Linked DNA regions of Rhinolophus ferrumequinum. The protein of the gene in region 1 binds, or shares a complex with, the protein of each later gene. Links are inferred from orthologs where the notes say so. Each region holds a gene or a part of one and is shown in the gene's direction. Other genes may lie near its edges.

Region 1 (9,986 bases):
GAATAAAAAAATGTGACAATCCCAGAAAAAAATGCCATAACCTTTGGGAGGGGGTTGACAGAGGGGCTCTAGTCCCTGCTTCTGATCCTACTCAGTACCTTTCCTAGCTGCTGCTCCCCAGCCCCCAGTTTGGCTGGTGGGGGAGCCCCAGCGTGGCTTTACAAGGCCGGTCAGTTTTCCTAACCCTGGTGACCCTCGCCCCCAGCCCACCTTTGCAATGGTGGGGGCGACTCACTTCTCTCGCGCTCTCTCTCCGCTGGTAGGGTCTGGCCTGGAGGAACCTGTCGCCTTCTGCAGGGGTCCCTTCCAGCCTCTGACGCCCCCACCCCTACCTCAAGGAACTCGCCATGGCGCCCCACTCACCAGCGACCCAAAGGCGAGGTGGGGGCGGGAGGGGCCACGTTCGGTCTGCACCCCCACCCTGACTGCCGAAGGGGCGTGCACTGCAGCAGCAGGGATTCGAGTCAGACGGCAGGGGACTCTCCTGCGGCGCTCTGGAGGGAGGTCGGCGCCGGGGGCCCCGATCGGCTGGGGCCGGGGGCGCAGCGCCTCCCCTGCGACTCGCAGGGCTCAGAGGCTGCCAGATCCAACGGGGCGGGGGCGGACAGGGTGTCCCGCCTCGGTCCCTCCCCACCAGGCTGAGGGGGGCGGGAGACGCGGAAACCTGGGTTCTTCCGGCCCCCCCTTTGAGCAATCACTTCCCCAAGCTTTGAGCTGCAGAAAAGGGGAACCCGGTTGCAGCGCCGACTCCCCCCGCGCGCGCGGTGGGGACGGGCTCCAGTCCCGCCGCGGCCCAGGGTCCACGTGGACCCCTCGGCGGGAGTCCTTGGGGTGCAGATCCCGGAGTCGGCTCCCGAGGCTCCCGCCCCACACGGCCCCGGGGCCCCGGGCCCGCAGGGGCAGGGCCGCCGTCCTCCGCGCCGCGCGCGTGCACTCACCGGCCGCGCTCTCGAGCCGCTCGCGCCGCCGCCGCCGCCGAGCCCGCGCGCTCCGAAGTCCGGCCGGATCGTCGGGGAGGGGGCGCAGGGTGCAGTGCGCAGGCGCCTCGGCCGCACTTCCCCAAAGCGCCGGGCTGGGACTTCCTCGCGCGGGGAGGCGCCCGGCCCGCCCCGCCCGGCGCGCCCCGCCCCGCGTTTGGCTGTTTCTGCGCCCCACGCGCCCCCTCCCCACCACCCCATAGAGTCCGGCCCAGCGCCTTGGTCCCCGTCGTCGCTTAGGGTGGCCCATGGAGATGAGGTGCTAATATTGGGGTCTCTGGCCTCCAGGCGGCCTGAGCTGGAACTGTAGTAGGTGGGGGTGTGGCCGTGCCCCCGACTCGGCCGGGCCATTCCAGCTGTGCCATTCATGTGAGTCGGCCATGAGCTTCCTGCCAGATGTGTGGCACGAGAGTCCTAGAGACGCAAGTGTCCCCATACGCTACTTGCCCCGCTGGAAAGGACTGTGTCGTGGTTACTCTAGGCCCCACCCTAGCCTTTCCCAGACTGGGTGCCCTCACCTGTAAAATGAGGTTAAGAGCCTGTTATCACCGCACTGTTACCACACTGTAGGGGGCTTCCCACGGAGGGGACCGGGGTCCTGTGCTGAGGTGAACCTGGATGCTGGGGGTATGGATTTTTGCCCCTGGAGTCACCACATGTCTCTCTCTATCTGTGGCTGCTGGCCGGCTCCCTTCTGACCCCTTCAGTTGCTCCAAGGTGTCATGCAGTTTAAAGCCACACTGTCCCCTTCCCTCGAATGTCCTGTCTCTTCTCTTTGGCTGATTCTCCTGGTACTTTATGACCTGGTACAGCTGTTAGTTCAATTTCTTATCCCAGCATGCTTACGGCCAGTGTCATAGTGGCTTTGACCCTGCTCTGGAAATGGTCCCCTGGACTCAGACCATATGTAGCTCCTGTCCCTAGTGCAGGCACTCGGCCTGGTGAGCTCCTGGAGCCGGTCCGGCTCACAGAGGGCCTCCCAACCGCACAAGTTGTCGAGATGTGAAGGGAAGTGGAGATTTTCCACGCACTCCTCATCATTCAGCAAGTTTCTGGCTGTCCCCTGAGCGGGACCTTGCAGTGAGCTAGACAGACCAGCCCTAGAGCAGATGAGACCCAGCCCGCAGAATGGGTGAGAGGTGAAGAGGGCCAGGGAGGGTAGAGGAGGCTGCATGGCAGGGGCTCAGGCCAAGCTGAGAGCGGGGAAGGTCAGAGAGGCCAGAGGGCCCTGGAGGCTGGGGTGCCTCTTGATGCTGTGTGCTCAGGGGCCCTGGCTGCCATGTTGGCAGGCTCCCAGGACAGGGCCCAGGCTGGAAGCCTGTCCAGACAGGAGACGACTGCTTCTCATTTACCCCAGATGACAGTCCTGAGAGGTAACAGCACAGAGATGGGCCAGCACCTGGCCAAGGTCACACAGCCAGGCGGATCCCACAGTGTGTGTGGCATCTCCACCCACCGCCTAAGACATGTGTAGGGCAACTGGTCATGGGTGGGGGTCAGCACACTTCCCTCCCTCCTCTGGCCAGTCCCCCACACCCTCTGGGTCTCCCGTACCTCCCCTGGGGAGTCTGTCTCTGCAGTGTCCCCGCAGCCCATGGAGGATCCCAGGTGGACTGGGGAGGAGCCCCTGAAGGCCATACAGCAGGAGATGTGGAGATGCGACTGACCCCAGGGCCCCCTGCCCAGAGCACAAGCCTCAGCCCGGCATCCCATCTGATCCCTCACGGCCCATGGGACGTGGTGCAGGCTTTGTTCTCGCAGAGCAGAAGCCACCTCCAGGCCCCACCACTTTCCTCAGACACTTTCTGAGGCTGGTCTGCGGACCTAGGGCCTGTCCCTGGTGGGATCAAAGGGCGCCCATATGCACAGCTGTCTGTGAGGCCGTCTTCTTGCTAGCCCTCTCCTCAGGGCTTTGTGCGTCTGCCCTGTCCCTCTGTCCTCAGGTGCCTGCCTAATGCAGTGACCCTGCCTTAGGAGCAATCGCTGTGGGGCACATGGCAACAGCGAGACCCTTGAGACTCCGTTTTAGAGATGAAGAAACAGAGGCTTAGAGAAGTGGAGAAATAAAATGTGCTTCTACTAAAATGATGAAGTCATCCTAGGCACTCAGTCTCTAGGCGTCCCCCAGAGACAGGGTGCTGGGTCCAGATGGCGGGGAGCCGGGCCAGGGGCCAGGGCTGGCTGTCCTCCATGCCTGTCTGGGTGCCAGTGGCCACCACTCCTGGGCAGTGGTTGCTTCCCCTTTTCTGTCTCTGTCCCTCACCCAAGCCACCTTCTCTGCCCCCCTCCTTCTCCCTCCCCCTCCCAACACACCCACTCCCCTTCCCACCTGCCACTACATGCAGCTCCCCACTCCCTCCCACTCCGCACATAGTTCTGGGTGTCCATCGACGCCAAAGGCAGCAACAGATGGGGAGAAGGGCTTGCTGAGGGCACGGAGGGCCCAGGTCTTCATCCTGAGCCGGGTCAGGGAGGGGCAGTGACCGCCACTGAGCAGGATTCCTGGCCAGACCCCAAGCTCTGACCTCTGCGCCCCTCCAGGGTCAGCTCTGCTGCTGCCCACTCAGCAGGAGGCCCCTGGCAGGGGTGGGGCTGGTCTGCGTCCCTGAGCCCCCGCTGGAGAGGTGGCTGAGAGAAATCCCGGGCTCTGCAAACAGCCTGTGTGGGAGAACAGTGTTCTTGAAGGTCTGTCCAGAATCATGGAGGTTCTTAAGGAATCCATAGGGTTAGCAGGACAGACAGGCTTGTCAGAATGGGGCAGGGGCGGCTTCCTTCTGGTCTTGGGTATGTACGTGGTGAGGAGGTAAGAGAGGCAGAGGGGACAGACGAGGCCATTCAGGATGAAAAGGAAAAACACAGGGTGATTTTCTGTCTGGGGCAGCAGGGTTCCCCTGAGGAGAACTTGCCCCTTCTCCAGTCTCCCAGCACAGCTGACGCTCCAGGTATTTTTTTTAAATTGGGGAATATTGGGGAACAGTGTGTTTTTCCAGGGCCCATCAGCTCCAAGTCATTGTCCTTCAATCTAGTTGTGGAGGGTGCAGCTCAGCTCCAAGTCCGGTCACCCGTTTTCAAGGTTGCAGGGGGGCACAGCCCACCATCCCATGAGGGAATTGAACCGGCAACCTTGTTGTTTGTTGAGACCTGGAGCTCTAACCAACTGAGCCATCCAGCTGCCCCATCCAAAGGCAGCTTTGTGTGCAGCTACTTCCTTTGCCCATAATGTCACCCTCCTCTCTGACACCCTGATGGGATGACCTGCAATCTGGGGGTCCCACTTCAGCCCCTGTCTCTCCCTGAGGCTGCTTACTTCTGGGGGTGTGACTTGCTAAGCCACATTCTTCTTCCTGCCCCCCATGGACTCAACAGCTGGAGGCTGCGGATTTGGGGGGGTGAGGGATGTCCTGGTTCCCTGTTAATGACGCCCGCCCACTTGCAACTTCCTACTTTGTTGGAGGAGCTCCACTCTGTGTACCCCAATGTCTGTGACGTCCTATGTCGGAGAGGCAGCATCCATCCCCTCCTTCTCTGCCCTGGGACGTGGAGACGGAGCGTAAAGACCAGCAGGCTCTTGGAGAATGAGAACTTTATGTGGGCAGGTGGGGTAGCCGTCAACGCGGGAAGATGTGGCCATCCACTGTCTCCTCCAGGATGGTCTCCAAGCGCCTCCGCTGCGGGGGAGAGGGGCTGGGGCCAGGTGTGGAGAGAGGAGGGCGGGGCCCTCTCTCCCCGCCTTCCCGGGCTGGCAGGCACCTCTTGACGGTCCAGGGGGTCCGGGATCCTCGTGGGCTTCAGCTGCGGAGGCAGGAACAGCTCCAGCCGGATGGCGGCGCGCGCGGACTTCTGCCGCTGGATGAGGAGCGAGATCTCCTCCGCCTGCCGGCCGGGGCGTGGCACGTGGGGTACCTCTGAGCCAGCGCGACGTATTGCCCTGCTCCGCCCCTCCCGCCGCGAGCCCCCGCGGGTCCTCCAGCCCCCTTTCCTCAGGGTCCCGGGCCGGCCTCCCCTCCCGGCCTGCCCCCCAATTCTCGCCTGCCTGCCCCTCCCTCTGAGCCCCTGGCCTCACCCGCAAATGGTTGTAGCGCAGCCGCAAGGCGCGGATTCGTCCACAAGCTTCCGCGGCCTTGAGGACACCGAGGAGCCGGTCTTGGCGCGCCGCGGGTAGCTCGAGTGATTTCGTCCACGCGCGCAGGTCGGGCATACGGTACCCCAGTTCCACTGACTCACGCGGGAAGATGGAAGCGGCCGCGCCCACGTCCTCAGGCAGGTCGCAGAAGAGCAGGTGGCGATGGCACTGAGCGGGATGCATGTCTGCCAGTGCCTCCGGTTTTAGGGTCCAGCCCGGCATGGGGAGCTCTCCCGCCGGCGCCCCCTTGGCGTGCTCCTCAGGGGACTCTGCACCCTGCGTGCCCTTCGAGGCTCGGTCCCGCGAGTCCCTGCGCCCGGCATCCTTTGCCGCCGGCGGTTGCATTCTCGGCCCTTGCCAAGGGGAAGAGGCATCGCCTTGTTGGTGCCCAGACGGTGTCCGTTTGGCACCTGCCCAGCCCTCTGGCCTGGCTTGGCCCCTCCAGAGTCCCCGCAGGCCCCACCCCCGTGGGTCCCGCACCTCCAGCATCTGCACCTCCGCTCACGCCTACCACGCGTCCCCATCAGCTCAGCCTCCCTACTCAGTGCTGCAGTCAGCTAGAACTTTCTGATCCTTTCGGGAGTTTCGGGATATTTCCTTCCTGCCCACAGGCTGTTTGTCTGTCCACTGAGAAAACACCGAGACCCTTGAGTTGACCTCAGGCCCTACCCAGTGGTTTAGACCAGGTGACACTGCTTTTAGTGAAGCTCCGTGGATCCTTCTCCACGTTGATGGACGACCCTCTCTGCGCTCCAGTTCCCTGTGTTTCCGTCACCGGTCAGTCATCAAACCCCCAGCCCACTGGAACCCCAGAGGAGGCTCAGAGCCAAAAGGACAGCCGCTTCATTTGTTTGCTTTGCTCATCCTCCTAGCCTGTCTGGAACTGGCTCTAGGTGGAGGAAGGGAGAGCAGAGCCCAGGGAGGAGGTGATGGGGGGCGGGGAAACATCGCCAGGGCCCGGTTCAGCCCTGCAGGGCTCCTTCCTTCCCGGGATCCAGCCCACAGCTGCCCGAGACGCTGAGCCAGGTCCTCCCCCGACCCGGTCCCCACACCCCATACTTTCGAGTTTCTTGACTCTGAGCCTTCAACAAAGCCCCTACTCTCTGGGCTTGTTGACGCGGTTGCCGGGCAACCGGGAGTCCCGCCTCTCCTCCAAGGGGGGGTGGGGCGGAGAAGCCCCTCAGGAGGGGCGTGGGCAAGTGAGTGGAGGGCGTCCCCATCACCGGGGCGAGATGCCGGCAGCTGCCCCAGCCTGTCGAACTCCGTGGAGGTGGTGACTGCCAGCTCCTGCAGCCCCGTGCGCTTTCTTTCCTTTCTGGGGAGTCCCAGAGGCAGTCTTCTGGGCCTCTGCCTTGGCTTCCTGGCTGGAGAGGTCATTGGAGGTTAGTTTTGGAGGTAGGGGGCTGAGGCCCTTTCTCTGCGTGGTCCTCCCACAGTCGCTGGCGTTCACAGAGAGGCGAGACTGGGGCAAACTCAGAACCCCTCACCTCTTCCAGGGCGAGTTTGGGGGCCCAGGGGTCCCACAAGACCAGACCCCTTTGTTGCTGAACCGTAAATCTCGGGGTACTGGATTTCTGTAATCTATTTGTGTATTTGCTAATTTCATAACATTCTATAACTAATTCACTGCCCAATTTATTAATTCTGTATTTTATTCATGCACTCATCAGTTTGTTGGGAACTCATTAATTCATATGCTCACGCCACAGTTTATGTTAGACGAAAATTAGTGTATTAAGCCCATAATTTGTTAATGCGTGGGCTGCCACAGTGTGCACGCAGCTCTCCCTTTCACTCCTGCATCTGGGCGCTGGGGCCGGTGGAGGGCGCTGTTTGGGAGTTCAGGACCTGAGCCCCTGAATCGAGGATGATGCTGGCTTTGGGATGGGGTCACAGCTGAGGTCCTGGCCTCTGTGTAGGAGGCTACTGACCGTTCCCATTGTTTTGGGAAGCTTGCTCTGACTTCCTATGATTCTGTGCCCCTATATCCCTGAGCTTGCACCCCTCAAACTCCCACTTTTAAGCCCCCAGGGCTTTGCATAGCTGTTCCTTGGATGTTGGCCCATCCTGCCCTGTGCGTGCCTTTGAGGGATGGCCTGGGCCTTAAGAATCAGCACCAACTTGGTGGCTTGTTGAAGATGAGGGTCTCTGGCTCCGGAAGAAGCAGTGAGGGCTTAGGAAGGCTGATTTAGCAGGCCACCTCCTGCAGGCAGGCCTCCTAGATACACATAGTCCAGGCTGGGGCTGCCTCTGGCCCCCACTCCTTGCTCCCATGTGGGTGAGTCCTCTGAGACAGGGATCTGGGCCCTCCTCTCAGCTCCCCGGGGTCCCAGCCAGGAGGCCACACAGGAAAGGAGTGGCTTGCTGGCTCCTGGGGTTAGAGTGGGGTTACAGGTGGATTGGGGGCATGCTGTCCTACAAGGAGGGATTTGTGACTTTTTGTGGGATTGAAAACTTTGACACCTCCTTCCCTCTAATTCCAGGAGGGCCTGGTGCCCATAGAGCTTCCATTCCTGAAGACATCTTTTTCCTGCTTCTCCACACACCGGGTTCTACTGGAAGGGAAGATGGCCTGTGTGTCTGGGGCTCAGTGACCAAGGGAGACCCGCAGGCAGGTGTCTTCCCTTTGTTTTTTGTTTATAAATTTTATTGGGGAATATTGGGGAACCAATGTGCTTTTACAGGGCCCATCAGCTCCGAGTCGTTGTCCTTCAATCTAGTTGTGGAGGGTGCCGCTTAGCTCCAAGTCCAGTCGTGGTTTTCAATCTTTAGTTGCAGGGGGCGCAGCGCACCATCCCTTGCGGGAGTGGAACCCGCAACCTTGTTGTTATTAAGAGCTCGTGCTCTAACCAACTGAGCCACCCAGCCACCCTTCCCTTTGTTTTTTTGTTTGTTTGTTTTGGTTTGGTTTTTTTGTCATATATAAAACTCTATTTGAACTATTTGACAGAATTCAACTAAATGAAATAGAACATTTAAATCACTTAGAACTGTAACTGACATAAAACATGTTCCAGTAAATGTATGCGAACAATATCGTCATCTTCATCATTATTGCTTAAGTGAAATATGCTCACTTTCTATAAGTCTGACATGATTTTAGGTACTAGACCATCACATCTTTATATATATATATATATATTTATATGTTAAAAGTTTTAATCTTGTAATAATTTTACATTTACATAAAAATTCTTCCCTTTGTCTTTTTGTCCAGGGTTTGTGGGGTTTTCAAGGGCTGATGGAAAGGCTGACATCTAAAAGTATGTTGATTGGCACCGAAGTTTGACGATAAAACTTCACAATGAAATTGCTAAGCTTTATTAAATGACTACCACATGTAACATATTGAAACCCTGCAACTCAGTTCTCCTGTTGCCGTATACTGGGGGTGCCAAAAAAGTGTAAACAAGTGGACACTTTGGTCAACGTTGCTCAAGCAGTAGTTCGCCATAATCAGAAGTGTCTGGACACTGATGGGAACCACGTTGAGCACCTCTTGTAATTGCAGAAGTCAAACATGACTTGTATTCATCTTTTGTTATCAGTATATATTATTAAAATTTTAATGCAATTTTCCTTTCTTAAAATGTGTATATATTTTTTTGGCACCCTCTGTATAAGTATTATGAAGTTAAAATCACAAGGACAAAGTAATTCATTACGATGAAACTCAGAATTATTACAATCCTTTTTTTTTTTAATTGGGGAATATTGGGGAACTGTGTTTTTCCAAGATGTCAGGTTGTTGTTTTTCAATCTAGTTGTGGGGGGTGCAGTTCAGCGTCAAGTCAAGTCATTGTTTTCAATCTAGTTGTGGAGGGCACAACTCACTGGCCCATGCAGGACTCAAAACAGCGACCTTGGTGTTATGAGCTCATGCTCTAACCACAAGCCAACAGGTCACCCACTGGTGGCTCAGCTCGAAGCTCAAGCCGTATTCAGTCTAGGTGTGGAGGATGCAGCTCACTGCCCCACGTGAGAATCAAACCGGCAACCCTGTTTTTCAGAGCTCCTGCTCTAACCAACTGAGCCACTGGGCCGCCCACAAATGCTCTCTTATGTAACGTGTGTCCCCTGCTCTCCCATGTGTGACACGTATGTTCTGTCTTACCCTTGCTGCCCAGGGCTCAGGAGAGGCCTGGGCCATTTCCTCTGTGCCATGCCCCCCTTTGTGGGAGCCCTGAAGGGTCCAGGGCTGGACTGCAGCCACTCCCAGGGAGTGTAGTCAGCATCTGGGGCTGGCCACCCACCAGTCAGGTGACCAAGCCTGTCCTTTGGCTGAGACTGTGCCTGTGAGAAACCAGGTGTCCACCTGCAGCTGTCCTCTGTGCTGGCTCTGTCCAGAACGCACATCCAGCTTCGAAGCAGCCTCATGACCCTTTGCTTTCCCCAGCCTGGGGCCTGGGACATGAGGCAGCTGACGGCCATCAAGAAATGTGGCTCTGCAGACTGCTGAGCGGCCAGGCGTCCCAGGGAGCCAAGGCGGGGACTCGGGCTGGCTGCTCAGACCTAGGTGCACCTGCCAGGGGCGGCGGTGGGAGCTGAGGCTCTCGGGTACCTGGGGTCAGCCGGATAATGCTTCACTGGGAGAGGCTGGTGCACGTGTGCAGCCGGGTGTCTGGGGCCTTGATCTTTGTGTCTGTCTGTTCCCACGTGTCTACCCACATGCCTTGCACACACCTTGGTGTAGGTTTGCATGTGTGTGCACGCCCCTGCGAGTGCCATTGCATTTCTGAGCACGTACCCGTGTCTGTGTGTGTTCCCATAGACCGATTTGGGCATCTATGTGTGTGTCTGCAGGCATGTGACTCTGTGTGCCCCTGTTTCCTGAGTGTCTCTGTGGACACATGTCCACACGTGTCCCTGAGCTGGCTGCAGCGAAG
Region 2 (9,154 bases), on another chromosome or scaffold:
CATTCAGCTATTGACCCCAGAGAAACACTACACCATCCTACAAAACTTCTCAGGGTACCATGATCTGAAGTGTCTGAAATGACTGTCTCCTTATTCTGAGCACGGCATTTCTTAAGTATATATGCTCCTCACATTCCAAATTTCAGAATACGCCTCCTAGTGGTTATGGGACTCTTAAGACACAGCCAGGAGAACTGCGTGCATGTTGCAGGCAAACTGTGACGTGGCAAAGAAAGACATACATTGTCAGCTCGGTGCCTGGGGAAACCAATGCTGGGTCTGGGAGCCCGAGTGTGGAAGGAACCCACTGCAGCCCAGTGTCCCACAGTGAACTTCAGTTCCCTTTCTAGGGTTTTATCCCCATTATCTGATGGGCTCAGTATCATATTCCAGCAGCTGTAGGCTGAATTATGCCCCCCACCCACACAAAAATTTTTGTATGTTGAAGTCCTAACTCCCAATACCTCAGAATGAGACTATATTTAGAGATAGGGTCTTTCCAGAGGTGACTATGGTTAAAGGAGCACATTGAGATGGGCCCTAATCCAATCTGACTGGTGTCCTTATCAGAAGAGGAGATGAGGACGCAGACACACACAGAGGGAAGACCCATGTGAGGACACAGGGAGAAGGAGGCCATGTACAAGCCAAGGAGCCAGGCCTCAGGAGAACCCAGCCCTGCCGACACCTTGGTCTCAGACTTCCAACCTCTGCAACTGTGAAAAAAACAGGTGTCTGCTGTTGAAGCCACCCAGGCGGTAGCACTTTGCTACGGCAGTCCCTAGCAGACTAGCCTACCTCCTAATCCTCATCTTTTCCCATATTAAAGCCCAGCTGCCACCTGTCTGCCCTCTCAGAACCTGCAATATGATCCTCAGCATCTTAACTTTCATTTCAAAAATAGGATAAACATCATGCCGTCTCTCATATGAACTTTCCTTGCAGTCTGATTTTCAATGAGCACATTATGTGCTCTCTGATTCTCTAATGGCCTGAGCCACGACTATATATGCTGTCCTGGCCACCCTTCATTAGCGTACGTCTTGTACCCCAGGCTCCTTCTTGAGGGACAGGACACCTGAGTCCATCTCCCTCTTGTACTCACACCACCTGGCACGGCACTCGGCTGGAATGTCTGGGTAGGAAAGCTGACACGTGCAAGGGTAATCACTGGCTCTTCGTCTTGAAATTGTATTTGCCTATCTCTTTGTCTAAAACCTAGCTTTAACTGATTACTAAAATTCAGCTTTCCCTCAATAACCCAAAGGCCCAAAGTTATGGAGAAACTTGGGTGTCTATCTTAAATATCCACTTGTGATCCAATTCAAGGTGTTTTAAACTGTGGAGAGGGTTTGACCTCTTTGAAAACAAGCAGTTTTTCCTGCTAGGACCCTGCTAGTGTGGTTACTAAGGAGACCGATTGGCTATAGGTGCTGTAATTAATCAGTACATTTTGAGCAGCCAAATACCTGGTGGTGAGCGTCTCTTCTACTTTGAGAGGAGGAAATGGCTGGGGGTGGAGGGTATGTGTTCGAGGAGTCCAAAGTGGCAGCCCCGCTATGGAGGATTTCTTCCCCTTGTACTCCCTCTACTGAAATTTCTGGTGGCTGTTTTAAGAGTCTCTAAATCTGCCTCCTAACTTACCTGTCAGAACTGAGTGGAGTCTAATGCTTGCAGCCACCCTGGCTTGGGCCTCTCGATGGCAAGCTGCATGGGCAGAAGGGAACTTGCACCGATTGCCTCAGAGTCACTAGAAATAAGACTGTGTGATCTTTCCCCTACAACGATTTTCATAAAATGTATACTGTCATCCAGAAGAAGAGGGCAGATGCTGCCTGGTGACCAGTTCTGACGCCTGAGGGAGGCCCATGAACCTTAAGGCAGCAGATGCAGGGGCAAAGCCCCGAGGAAAAAGCCTTTAAGTGATTCAAGCACCGCACAATTTGCACCTTTTCTAGTCCTCTCTTGCTTTTTGGAGAGGCAAAGTTCTTACAGCCTCACACGACAGTTGTTGCAAACGCCTTCCCTGGGTTCCCTCCTGTCCTCCACGTGCGATAGAAGACAGCCTACCACAAAATGCAGCCTCAGTCAACCCAAAGAGAACTGCTGGGTCGTTGGGTTCAACACTTTCGTTTGGTAAACAAGGAAAGAGAAGTATAGTGATTTTCACGCTTGCTTTCTCTTTCCCTCAATTGCAAGGGAAGGAAAAAAACGTGGGTATCCAACACCCTGGAAATGACTAGGTGCTCAAAGGAAGGTTGATCGTTTCTGAAGATTTTCCAGTGCACATGAGAGAAAATCCAAAGAAGTGGCTTTAATTAAACAAAACACGGAGCCTCTGCCTACCCCGCCCCACTCACCCCGCCCTGTGACTTTGTAGTCTCCGCCCACTTTGGCTCTGTACTGGTACTCTGACTGCCTTTAGCCAATAAATGCAGCAAAAGCAGTGGAGTGCCAGCTCCAAGGTCAGGCCTCAGGGACTCTGCATTCTTCTGCTTGTTCGCTTGCTTGATTGTACTTGCTTGTGCTTGAACTTCAGTCTTGCTATGAGACCACGCCAGACCAGAAGGCATAGTAGAGACACATAAAGGTTAGGAGACACAGATTGGAACCACGGTGTCCCCAGCTAACCGCCAGCCAACCTCCTGAAGCTACCGCCAGCTGACTGCAGATTCATGAGACAGCCAAACTGAGACCGGAAGAACTGCCCTGCTGACCACCAAAAACTGCCAATTTGCAGTGTCACGAGCCAAATAAGCAGTTTGTTGGTTAAGCCTCTGAATTGGTGTGGCTTGTTACACAGCAACAGCTAACTGAACCCTGACTGATATTTGAAATAGTTGAGTTTTTTCTCTTAAAAAAAGTTGGAGGTTCGAACTCCATGATTGGTATGAAAGCACCACAGTCATCAGGGACCCAGAATCTTTCTATCTTTATGCTCCATCATCTTTAGTCCATGGCTTTTATCCTCAAAATTGTCTCATGATCCAAGATAACTGCTAGAGCTCCAGCCATTACATTTGTGTTCTGTTCAGGAAGGAAGGAGGGCAAAGAGAGGCCTTTTTAAAGAGCTTTCCTGGAAACCCCACCTATGGACTGGACTAGCAGCTTGATTCTCACTGACTACCCTTGGCTGCAAGGAACCCTGGGAAAGTAGTCTTTTAGCAGAGCACATTGCCACTTAACATAAAATAAAGGGTACTGTTTAGTAAAGAAGAACAGGGACTGGGTATTGGGTAGGCAATCAGCAACATCTGCCACTGCACGTGTGAAATCAAGCTCAAGGGACCCCAATGTACATCAGGATGCAAAACTGACCACATAGCAGGCCGATTTCTCAGATTTCATAGTGGTGGCTTTGACCTGTAGTAACAGAGTGCAAGATTCGCACAATAGAGATGTAAGTGTAATATCATGAGTTTGCTGGTCTCCTGGGCCCGTTTGCTGTGAATATAGATGGAGGAGATGTTGTATTCTGAGAAGCTGTTGCTCTTAACCTAGGGCAGATGATTGATTGATTGATTGATGGACTGATTTCTTTGTTTCTTTCTTTTCTTTCTTCCTATATGTTTTTTATTGAGATATAATTCACATAACATAAAATTCACCACTTTAAAGCATGCAATTCAGTGGTTTGCAGTATATTCACTATGCTGTGCAGCCATCAGCACTATCTAATTTCAGAATATTCCCATCATCCCTAAAAGAACCCCTGTACCCATTTGCAGGCAGAGCAGATGCCTTCTTTAATCCTTCTCCACCCAGTCTCAGGTTGATACCAGAGCCTGACTTGTCGCAGGACAGGGTGCTTAAGCTCCTTGGACAACAGGCTCACATCCTGGGATTCTGGAATATTTATGAATTTTCTTGGGAGAGCCAAGGAGGAGGTCATGGTGTGATTCACCTCGGGCTCCACAAGGACACTGCAGAATCTAAACGCTCCCGGCCTGGGCTGCCTCTGAGCTACCTTCCCGCAGGGAAGGGAAGGAGGCCCCAGACCGAGTGCTGGGGGCATCTTCAACAGCTTCCAAGACTCCAAGGCACTTGGTAGTGACATCCGGAAGTACAGCAGCAGCTTTCAAAGCACTCTGTTGTGCCACTAGATGTTGACAGATGTTGGCTTTTTAGATCCAGCTGGCATTGTTTAATATGAAAAGGATAGAGGGGATGCTGAATTCACTTTTATTAAAGGTCTCATGTGTTCCAAATACAAACAGAATATCATTTTTCTACTCACAACCATCCTGGGAGGTGTTCTACCCATTTTACAGAAAGAGGACCTGAGGTTCGCAGACAGAAGTACATTGCTCTGATAGCAGAGCGAGAATTTCAGACACTTCAGTCTGAGTCGAAAGTCTCAGCATTTTACGTTGTGCCATGCTGTGGGTACCTGTGAAATGCCACCTGACATGGCCCATGGCAGGTAGAGCCACTGCCTAGAGTGACATAGTTGTTGCTGCCTGTGGGACAGTGACAGCAGGAGGGGGCTTGGCTAAGCTTAGCTCTGGGCTTTGCTGAGCCAGTGGGAGCTTGACGTGTGCTTCCCCCTCATTCTGCCCGCTTCCTTTTCTTTACTTCTCAGGCTAAAAGGTTGTTCAAGGAGACTCGGGGCTTGGGGTCTGCTCGTCACAGTCACCAGGAGTCTTTTTTTCTGACTGACTTGCCAGGGCTCCCCGTCAGTGTTCGCCGTGCTTCTGGAAGCAAGGGGAAGGCAGCTGTGGGATCCTGGCTGAACAGAGTCCAGGTAAAGCAGGCTTGAGAATGAATGGACTGATGGGGAGGTGGGGATGTCACAGGTCTGAGCACAGAGGCGGTGGGGGGTGGGGGGAAGCCAGGAAGGACTGTAGGTTCTGCTGTTCACTTGCTTAAGGGGGTCAGCGTGTGTATGTGTCATCGAGGTGGGCAGGGAAAGGGAGGGCTGTGCGTGTGGGGGGAGGATATATATGCTGGTGTGGCTGAGATCTCAGAACCGAGCCTCACATCCGAGGGAGCCGGGCCACTGACAGCTCTCAGGTAGGCAATGCATGCGAACCCCAGCCCTAGACAGTCTGCTGGGAGCCTCTGGGAGCAGGGCAGGGGGGGCTCTCTCCTCAGCCTCTCTCCTTTGTCCAGTATGAATGCTGCAGGCCTCCTGTGAGATGATTTCTTCATTCATCTTATTTTCAATGCTTGGATGGAGGGGAAGGGAGGCTTGAGGTTTTTATGCTGAAGACAGATGCAGAAGAAGAAAGAGCCGAACTTGGAGATGAGAAAAAGTTTTGATTTCCCAGATGTGGCCCCTACTTTGTCATTGCTGTCTGTTGAGAAAAGGTGTCTGTAGGAGTAAGGTTAGGGAAGGGGCAGACTTGGGTGGGGGAGTCTTCCTCAGTGCAGCCCTGGGAAGCCCCCCTGCTCCCCTTGTGAGCGATTTCTCTGTGTGGCTGACTTCCTTTCTTTCCTTCCCTCATAGTGTGTTCAGGCTGGTTCACGGATCACTAAACTTGATTTGGATTTGGGTTTTAATCCTGAGCGACTCCTTCTCCCATATGCACCAAACAAAAATTGTTAGGCGTGATGTGGGAAAAGTCAGATGTGGGGCGTCGTGCTGGACCAGTACTGGGTTTCCCCGAAAATAAGACCTAGCTGGACCATCAGTTCTAATGTGTCTTTTGGAGCAAAAATTAATATAAGACCCAGTCTTATTTTACTATAAGGCCAAGTCTAATATAATATAATATAATATAATAAATATAATATATAATATAATACCGAGTCTTACATTAACTTTTGCTCCAAAAGATGCATTTGAGCTGATTGTCTGGCTAGGTCTTATTTTCGAGGAAACACGGTTGTAGTACATGGCTGATTGCAGCCGCTGTGTATGAATTTCACATAGATTTCTACAGGGCTGACCTTGGACTCCCGGACCCTGAGTCGTTTTGAGGTCTCCTCTTTCTTTGCATTTTTCTTCTCCTGCCCATCTCTCCCACCTAAAGGTCTCTGCTGGGGTCCTGTGGATTACGACATGCAGAAGTCATCCAAACTCTCTCTTGCTCTTTCTCAGCCTCCTTTTCTTTCTCCTTCTTTCTTTGTGCATCTCTCTCCCTGCATGTATCGCTTTCCCTCCCTCCACCACACATCCTCTCCTCCCCCATCTCACTCGGAACATGGGCAAGTTGCGGGGGAATTTCAAGCAAGGCAGGATGATTCGGGAAACGGACTATTTAAAGCAAGCTGCTTTGGACTCAAATACCCTGATCCTGGGCTTCAACATCTGTGTTTCGCTGCCTCGAGCAGCCCGTAATTGCCCCAATTATAACCAATAACATTGTTCATGAGACTAACAAAAGATGAGCTTTCCACGGCTTTTGCCAGCAAGCCTAAACCAGAGTTTTCAACATAGAGGGGAAAAGTAACTGCCTGGCTTCTTATCAAAACCTCCCAAAGAAATTGCGGCTCTTTCTCACTGCCTGTGGGTGGCTGCTGCACGCACACTCCTTTCTTGCATTTATAAACTATGGCAGGGAAATAGTCTATATGCCTCTACAGATGCTGTGATACCTTTAACAAAAAGGATTAGTGTTCCTGTGTGCTTGCTGAGTCTTCTGCAGGGTCCCTGGAAAGCCTGTCCCCAATCACCACCTTAGTCAAAGGAGCAGCTTCCCCTGTTCCATATGCTGCCCATCGAGGGTGCTATGGTGCAGCCTGGGGTTGTTCTGGGGGTGCAGTTTGTGTGTGGGGCAGCAGCCCTTGCTTTATCAGCTGAAGGCTGAGAGTACTCGGGTCTCTAGAGAATGCTGGAGATTTTTCATTGTCAATGAAGGGAGTAATTGCAAGATTAGGCTTAAACCCGTGCTCTCTGGGGCCTATAACAGGAGCTGTCACAAAGCCATTACATATTCAATCAATCAGGTATTTATCTTCTCCACTCCACGAGGCAGGGGAGGCATGGGTTTGGGGGCACGGGGAGGGGGCTCCAGTGGATTCAGCAGAGGTGATAATAACAGCCCTTTACTTTCCTACAATGATTTACATCTTAAACGCTTTCACACCTATTATCCCCAGCAACAGCCCTGCGAGGTGGTGTGATTATCTCCATGTTGCTGTTGAAAACTGAAGCCGAGAGGTTAAATAATTTGTTCAGGACGTGGCAAAGAGGACTGAATCCAGCCTTCCTGGCTCCCGTGCCTCTCCTGCTTCGGACCAGGGGTGCTTACAAACTAATGGGGTTAGGGCTGGGGCAATACACACACACAGGGAAACAATTAGGGGACAATGCCACACCGGAGTGCTAAATTGCCTGGTTCAGACAGCAAGTGCTGGAAGGACTCCCAGAAAGGAGCGCTTGCCCCAGCCATTCGAGCCGGGCAGGGAAGGAGGTAGAATATGGATGGGTCAAAGGGTTTGGAGAGAAAGGCGGCGGCCAGGACAAAGGCACTAAAGGAGGGCAAAGGAATTAACATTGCTTGAAACCTACACTGTGGCATGTAGTGAGCTGAACTTGCCTGTATGCTTATTTCATGCTAAGACACACATGCACGCACGCACACCACAGGGACGTGAGGTCTAGGGTGTTCTACACTTTTATCAACATGATTCAGTGAGCCTCACCCCCAATCCTCCAGCTCCTGAAGCCAGAAAAGGAACCTTTGAAATCTACCTGTTCTGGGTCTGGGTGGAGCTACTCGTCAGATATCCTCGGGAGGGACTGACTGGGTCCTTCTCTCAAAACAGGAGTCATCATGACAACAGTGGCAGTGGCTTAAACAGCTGGGAACTCATTAGAAAAACTGGGTTTTCTAAACCCTTTTATTGTAACGCCTAACGGTGCTCCCACAATCTAACATGAAGGTTTCCTTCTAACCACAAACTAGCTGTGAGAGTTCGGGCACACCAGTGTGGGAGCCATGTCAATTTTCTGGGCATTTCTCTTCATAGGCTATGATCACACTCAGTCTGACTTTCTGTGGTGTTCTGGTTTTTCAAATACTGGAAGCTGCCTCAGCATCACCAGCTCTGAAGGGCCTGGCTCAGTGGGTAAAGTGTAGAGCTTTACCCTCCAAGGAGTCTGTGAAAAAGTCAGTGGATGGCCACGTAGCCTCCCCACCATGGCTCAGAGCCAATCTCCCCTCTGCTCACACCTGTCCCGCGCCCTGTCTCCACCCGGCTCCCATTCATCCTTTCATTCATGTAGCTAAGAAGTGTGCGTGGCATTTCTAACGGGAGCCTGGCAGCACCTGGTGCCTGCAAAACAGACCCGTCAGACTGTCCTCAGCTTCCTCAGAACTCACAGGCAACGTCACCTACTGTGGATGTGACACAGGGTGTCATAGGGGTCTCCACAGGGGTGTGAGTGTCCGACAACCCACTGGGCTTCAGAACATGGAGGCTTTATCTTTTTCGTATCTGTCTGAATTTTCACATTCGCCTGTTGTATCATGTGTACAACGTATAACTATTAGGTTGGTGCAAAAGTAATTGCGGTTTAAAAAGTTAAATTGCAAACACCGCCGTTGACTTTTGCACCCACCTAATAAATCAGTGGGAAGTGCGTGCTCCAAAACTGATTGCTAGTGGTATAAAGCCGAAGAAGTTTGAAGATTATCGGTCTAGAGCCACTGCTCTTCTGCTTCTCCGTATTTTCTCATCCTTTGGGTAAGAATACTGACTTCATTATAAAAGGAAGCAAATGATTTACAATATTTATTTGAATTATGTTGACAGTATAGTTGAACCTGTGGGCCAGAATCAGGAAGACCAAAGTTAAGAGGGATTTTTTCCCAACTTTGTGGAGGCCCTGATACAAAATGTGTCTGTCCGGAGCCCGCGGCTGGGCTGCTATTACGGCCTCAGTCCTGTGCTGCGTTGAAGTTGCTTCTTCCTGAAGCCCTCATGTTCTCTGCCTCCTTCCTTCTTGCTTCCCCTTCCCGGGAGAGCAAAAACATCTGGCCACTTATAAAATCAAAAATATTAACCATCTAATGCAACTGCCTCTTTCCGGAGAAGGGGAAACTGAGGCCCAGAGAAAGAAAGGGCCTTTCTCAAGGCCCCACACTTATAATCAGAGCCAGAGCTCGAACCCAGGACTCTGATTTCCACACACAGGGCTTCTGCTCATTCACTGCCCACCAGCAGCGGGCACGCTTGTTCTGTGTAGGAGGGGGGGACTTGCTTT

What was found. Proteins that work in one complex are often made in the same cells at the same time.
Region 2: the proteins of OPRL1 (region 1) and PNOC are in contact, whole or in part, in a cryo-EM structure (PDB 8F7X), measured with the Homo sapiens proteins. The link is inferred for Rhinolophus ferrumequinum from reciprocal best matches to the Homo sapiens genes OPRL1 and PNOC. Residues at the interface, in NP_000904.1 of Homo sapiens: Gln107, Asp110, Gly114, Phe115, Trp116, Val126, Ile127, Asp130, Tyr131, Met134, Gln192, Glu194, Ile198, Glu199, Cys200, Leu201, Val202, Ile219, Val279, Gln280, Val283, Gln286, Gln291, Pro292, Ser293, Val298, Leu301, Arg302, Thr305, Tyr309; in NP_006219.1 of Homo sapiens: Phe130, Gly131, Gly132, Phe133, Thr134, Gly135, Ala136, Arg137, Lys138, Ser139, Ala140, Arg141, Lys142, Leu143.

What each region holds. Positions count from the first base shown.
Region 1 is NC_046306.1:122,685-132,670, reverse strand, and holds the start of OPRL1 (nociceptin receptor), read left to right. Parts: upstream 1-5,740; 5' UTR 5,741-5,877; intron 5,878-7,583; 5' UTR 7,584-7,715; intron 7,716-9,986. Other genes in the region: RGS19 (regulator of G-protein signaling 19), read right to left, coding at 1-38; protein LKAAEAR1, read right to left, coding at 4,281-4,850, 5,041-5,589.
Region 2 is NC_046301.1:29,409,405-29,418,558, forward strand, and holds the start of PNOC (prepronociceptin), read left to right. Parts: upstream 1-4,606; 5' UTR 4,607-4,744; intron 4,745-4,963; exon of another isoform or gene 4,964-5,013; intron 5,014-9,154.